2 linked regions of the Tribolium castaneum genome follow. The protein of the gene in region 1 binds, or shares a complex with, the protein of each later gene. Links are inferred from orthologs where the notes say so. Each region holds a gene or a part of one and is shown on either strand. Other genes may lie near its edges.

What was found. Proteins that work in one complex are often made in the same cells at the same time.
Region 2: Polr1C (region 1) and Polr1H share a complex: the UniProt entries of both Homo sapiens proteins name them as parts of the pol I pre-initiation complex. The link is inferred for Tribolium castaneum from reciprocal best matches to the Homo sapiens genes POLR1C and POLR1H.

The regions. Positions count from the first base shown.
Region 1 is NC_087396.1:18,341,450-18,344,394, reverse strand, and holds Polr1C (DNA-directed RNA polymerases I and III subunit RPAC1), read right to left. Parts: upstream 2,005-2,945; 5' UTR 1,893-2,004; coding exon 1,830-1,892; intron 1,781-1,829; coding exon 1,480-1,780; intron 1,433-1,479; coding exon 1,313-1,432; intron 1,268-1,312; coding exon 854-1,267; intron 805-853; coding exon 695-804; 3' UTR 614-694; downstream 1-613. Other genes in the region: proteasome activator complex subunit 4, read left to right, coding at 1-91, 141-350, 397-531; N-acetylneuraminate lyase A, read left to right, coding at 2,012-2,263, 2,310-2,649, 2,698-2,843, 2,889-2,945. UniProt on the Homo sapiens protein: DNA-dependent RNA polymerase catalyzes the transcription of DNA into RNA using the four ribonucleoside triphosphates as substrates.
Region 2 is NC_087397.1:21,420,364-21,422,911, reverse strand, and holds Polr1H (DNA-directed RNA polymerase I subunit RPA12), read right to left. Parts: upstream 1,169-2,548; 5' UTR 1,080-1,168; coding exon 953-1,079; intron 896-952; coding exon 645-895; 3' UTR 614-644; downstream 1-613. Other genes in the region: PolD1 (DNA polymerase delta catalytic subunit), read left to right, coding at 1,263-1,315, 1,365-1,629. UniProt on the Homo sapiens protein: Core component of RNA polymerase I (Pol I), a DNA-dependent RNA polymerase which synthesizes ribosomal RNA precursors using the four ribonucleoside triphosphates as substrates. Can mediate Pol I proofreading of the nascent RNA transcript.

The DNA.
Region 1 (2,945 bases):
AGATGTTCAACCTGAAGTTAGAGTTAGTGCTAGTCAAGTTTTAAGCGGTCTTTTGCACTGCCAATTTATTCCAAACCCTCAAGAATTATTAGTAATTATTCGGGTTCTTAGTTTATCGTTAAATAATTCGTGAATTCTAGGCGCAATTTAAACAGAAAGCGAAAACTAAATTGAAGAAGAAAAATTTGAACAATTCAAACAGTTTGAATCTTAGTACTTTAAGATTTAGACATGCTGGAGTTTTGGGCTTGTGTGCTTTTATCAATAGCCATCCATACGACGTACCTGACTTTTTACCGGATGTTTTTGGACAATTAGGACCCCATTTGAACGACCCCCAACCCATTCCTGTGAGTCACACTTTCGTCGTTTAAAAAAATAATTAATAATTTTTAGGCAACAATTCGCAAAACCTTGGGAGATTTCAAGCGAACGCATCACGAAAACTGGGAAATCCACAAACTCAAATTTACTGAGGAAGAACTGTTAGTTTTAAGTGATCTCACAGTGCCTCCCAGTTATTACGCCTAGGCAATAATTTTCCGATTCCAGTCAATTTACAATTTAATTTTTTACTAGACAATAGGTGAAGGAAGGTTTAAGGTAGCAAAAATTTACGCGTCAAATGTTTTTTATTTTTAACCTTGTTCATTATATTTTTTGTGGTTTGATAAAAGTATATTAAGTGAAATGTTTATACATGACTTAATTCATCTAATAAAGCAAGACATTTGTCTTTTAATATTTTAACAGCTTCCATGAATATCACATCAGGTGGTAAAGCCCCCACAGATTCGACCGTAACTAAATTACAATTAATAAAAACTGAAAAAGTAAATAAAAAAAAACTTACAAATGAAATGATCCTGAATTTTGGTCATCGCTACTGCGTCCTTGAGGTCTTCATAACGGAAAACATTCCGACTTCCTGTATCATACCTCGCATTAGCTACAACAGCGTATTTGCGGCCTTTTTCATGTCGGATTGAAATCACACCGGGAGAGAAACATTTTTGGAGTCTCTCAGCTGCTTCACCTTCCACTTCTCGTAATAATTTTATGTCGGGAAGAAGGCGATAAAATGCGGTTGCGACAGGAGAAAATTTCGCATGGTCTCGCCCGTTGCTCTTGACTGCTAATAATTTTAAATCTAACTCATGGCCTGGCCTCATTTTGGCAATGAGAATGTCAGGGTGGATGGGGCCCACGTCACTAAACCGCTCCTTCTGTTTACCAATGGGCACCCATTTGATGTGTTTTGAATACACTAAAATTATTGCAATTTTTATTGTTTCTCAAACGGGGTAATTACCATTATTGTTTTTGTACATATCTTCAGCTCGCAGTGAGTCTTTACTGCTGTCTTTATTATTGGTACATTTAATTTTTAACGCAAACTCTAGAGTATCCTGTTCGGTACCTTCAGCAGTTGCTGTAAAAATATTGTAACGTTTGGAACGGCAACATTACAAGACTTACGATCAGTTTTCATTTCAAATAATCGGGGGTCGGCCTTTAGCGGTATCAGGCCTAAACGATGGGCCAAAACTTCGTCTTGGATTATAGACGTGTTATTAAGAATGTGAACCTTTTCAATGGCCATTGTGGGGACATCACTCAACATTAACCTTCTGAAAGTGTTTGCTAGGAACGGGTGAATCCCTATCAAGTCAAATTCGAGTTCATTCTCTTCACTTCGCACAATCACCACCCTAAATCTCTTCTTAAAGGTTTTCAAGTCCCATTTCTCGTCCAAAACAGTTGGTTCCGAGGGCAAATTCTTCAAAGGATGTTTGAAGGAATTTAATACAAAATAATAAAGGACATACCTGCGTCACTTTATATTCTCCTAAAATCACTCGAGGCTTTTCGTCATTCAGAATATTATCCATTTTAAACTTGTTTCAAAAACTTGGATAACCTCAAACAACGCACGTTTTTCGTAAAAATGACTACCAACCTTACCGTCCTTACCACCCAAAAGCCACTTAAAATGTCAGCTTTTTAGGTTATGTTTTGTGAAAAATATAAACAATTTTTGAAAAATATGACGAAACCCGAATGCTCCAAACAGGAAGCTTCAAACACGAAAAGCAAGGCTGAAAAAGACTCACAAATAAGCACACCTGAAACGGCTAAGGCTCTGTTTGCCGATTTTGTGCCAGAAGAGTCAGACAGCGAAGAAGAAAATGAGAAACAAGACGACAAAAAAGACGAAAATCTTGAACCAGCGTCAAAGAAATCACGAGACAGTAACTCGAAGGTAAGTCACCAGTACACCAAATGAAAAACCAACCACCTTCCCGCAGAAATACATACCAAAGTACAAAAAAGAATGGGAGAATAAACCCGAATTGAAAGCATGGTTATCAGAGAGCATACATGGAAATACGTATTTCTACTGCAAATTCTGTAAAAAGGATTACAGATGCGGGATTTCCGACATTCACAAACACATGTCGTCAAAGAAACATGCCCTCAAAGCGGCAATGCCTGCATTCAAGGCACAGAAATTTAAATTTCGGGGGCTTTTGTGCCCCGTCTTTACCCCATTTACTAACTTAAAAAGAGTGACACCTGATGTAAACCTTAAGGCTATACCAAAATACGCAAATTTTTTAAAAGCTTGCAATATTAAAGGAATTTTAAGTATTTCGCAACTCTAGAAAATGAATTAAATTAAATGGTCAATTTTAGTTAATGACATAACCGGGGAAGGAATGTCCTTAACCATTCATGAAAGAATAGATTTGGCGGACGCGTGGGCTGACGCTTGTGAAAAAACAAATCAGTTTTTGATGGCACAAATCGGGGGAGCCCCCCTCAAAGACGTTATAGAAATGGTAGTTTAAACATTTGTTAAAACTGTTAATATTTTTCATTTGTAGGCAAAACACGCCGCTAAGAGGGACATCGGCGCTGTTGTAATCCTCCCCGACCTTTAC
Region 2 (2,548 bases), on another chromosome or scaffold:
TATCCATTACTGTGGGTACTTATTATTAAATCAAATCAAAATAATTTTTGAAATCTTCAGTTTCAAAAGGTTTAAAACACAATATCAATCTTTAATCTTTTGGCAGCGAACTTTAACGTAAAAATACAGGGTGATTCAAGTAAACAGAACTTTGTAACATCCAAAGCAATAATATAAAAGGTAGACTTTTTTTATTAAGTAAAAACATAACACAAACAATTAAGTCTCACTTTCACTCATGTTGTAAGTTGGTGTAGAGCCTAAAACAGTCACTAGTCATTTTTTTGTATCTTCAACTGTATTTGCAGCGTTTTGAAAAATATGAGACAATGCGGCAGATTTCAAATATTGTTTTTCACGTTTCTCGTAAAAATTTTGGGCGTCACTTTTTTTCAACCTATTACGGTACGGATGTATTTTTTCCATTAATTGGTTGAAATAAAATTAATGTAAAACGATTATTAGGCGCCAAATAACACTCGAAGCGCCCAATTTTAATTCTACCGTACTATTTTACACCCCGTCTCGCTTCCTAATCTATAGTCCTCCATAGGACTATAGATTATTTGTTCATTTTTTTTAATTATTAATGCTTTTAAATTGAATAAATTAGTTATTAACAAAAATGCGTATTTATTGACCAATTACGAATTTTCACTCTCTTTGAATTTACATTTTGTGCAAGTATAAAACACAGTTTGGCCCTCATCTGCTGATCTCAATTGAACTGTCGCATAAGTCATTTTATCATGACCACATTTGGCACATTTTCTATCAACAACAGGACCATCATCTTCTTCTTCATCCTTTTTATTGTTCTGCTTGTTCATTGAATGAGTTTTGTAGTCTCGCGAATTGAAGTGTATCACATATGAAGCTTTAGTTCCTCGAAAAACTACAAAAAAAGTATTATCAATTCTTTAGAATTATCATTGAGACAAATTTAACTTACCATCTGATGGAAAATTGCGTTCACAGGCATAACATTTCACACCTCCTGTTTGTTTTAAAGGTGGCAAAATGGAACCACAGTCGGGACAAAACCCTTCGATACTTTCAAAATTAGGGCCAGTACTCATTTTTAATTTTTTGAGTGATTTAATTCGAAAAATTAACCTAAAAAACACATGTGTCAACTGTTGGGAATTTTCCAATTTACATATTGGTCACACTTCACGCATTTCAAGACAACATAACCTATAATTATTTTAAGCGGGAAGAAACTGAAATATCTTGTTTGGAGTCCGTTTGTTTACAGCAAAATGGCAACAAAACGCAATCTTCCGCCTCCGAATTCATCAGGGAAGAGGTTCAAGTAAGATTTCTTGACAAAAAATGATTGTTTTCTATTTGGTTAATTGAAGGAACGACAAAATTTTTCGCCCCCCAGTTGGCGATTTAAACCCCACTGATGATGCACTAATTTTTCAAGAATTAGAGTTGGATCATTACATTTCAGCCCCTTATCCTGGAATGCCAGGGGCTCAAACTGGTACTGTTCCTGTGATTCGAATGTTTGGTATTACAAAAGTGGGCAATAGTGTGTGTTGTCATATTCATGGTTTTTCTCCATACTTTTACATTAATCTGCCGAATGATTTTACACAAGCGGATTTGTCCCGTTTCAAGGTAGGAATTGTTTAATATTTAAACCCAATATAAAACGCGATAAAATGTTCTAAGATTAAGTACTGATACAGTCTTGTCCTTATCAGAATTTTGACACTGACAGTTGTTTATATAAAAAAAATAACTATATACGTTTGGTAACAAGTGGTAATTGTTTGGTAATAAATTGTCAAATAAACAATGAATAAACAATTGCGTAAACATAACAACGCTAACTACTTTGATCTGAGCTTTTACCATTCAAAACTTAAAAAACACCAACGCCGCATTTTGCCGAATATTGTTTTTAAATAGTATTGATAAAATTGTAAAATTGTTATTTATGATTGGAACTATCATTGAAAGTATAAATTAGATTAGCTATTATTTTTTTGAAGTGCGTGAATAATTTATAACAGCTAATTTCAATTTAAAGTATTGAACCAAGCATTTTGCACCTAAAATATACAGGGTGTCTCACGAGGTAGTGCATATACAGAGTGACCCAAGAGTTCGTGCATGCTCCATAACTTTTTTTCTATGCAAACTATCAATTTAAAGTTTTTTTAAACGATAGGTCTTACAATATTTTTATGTTGTAATGTTGTAATAAAATACTCCACTAGGTTTTGTTTTTTTAATTGGAAACCCCAATTTTTATTATATTTTTGAAAACGTGACTAAATTGTCGATATAATGCACCCGGGTTTTATAGACTTATCTGTCATAGTTTTTGACTTATGTCAATTTATGTGTGAAAAGTGTGTCGTGCAAAGACCCTCAAAAAATGTATAACTTCAGAACCATTTAAGATAATGTAACAATTTTTTTTCTTAGCCAACTTCTTAAGCTTTAGCGCATCTTTTGCAATAAAAGCAAACTCGATGTCGATATTTTAGCGCCTACTACGATTTTCTGAATATGACAAACTACATATTGC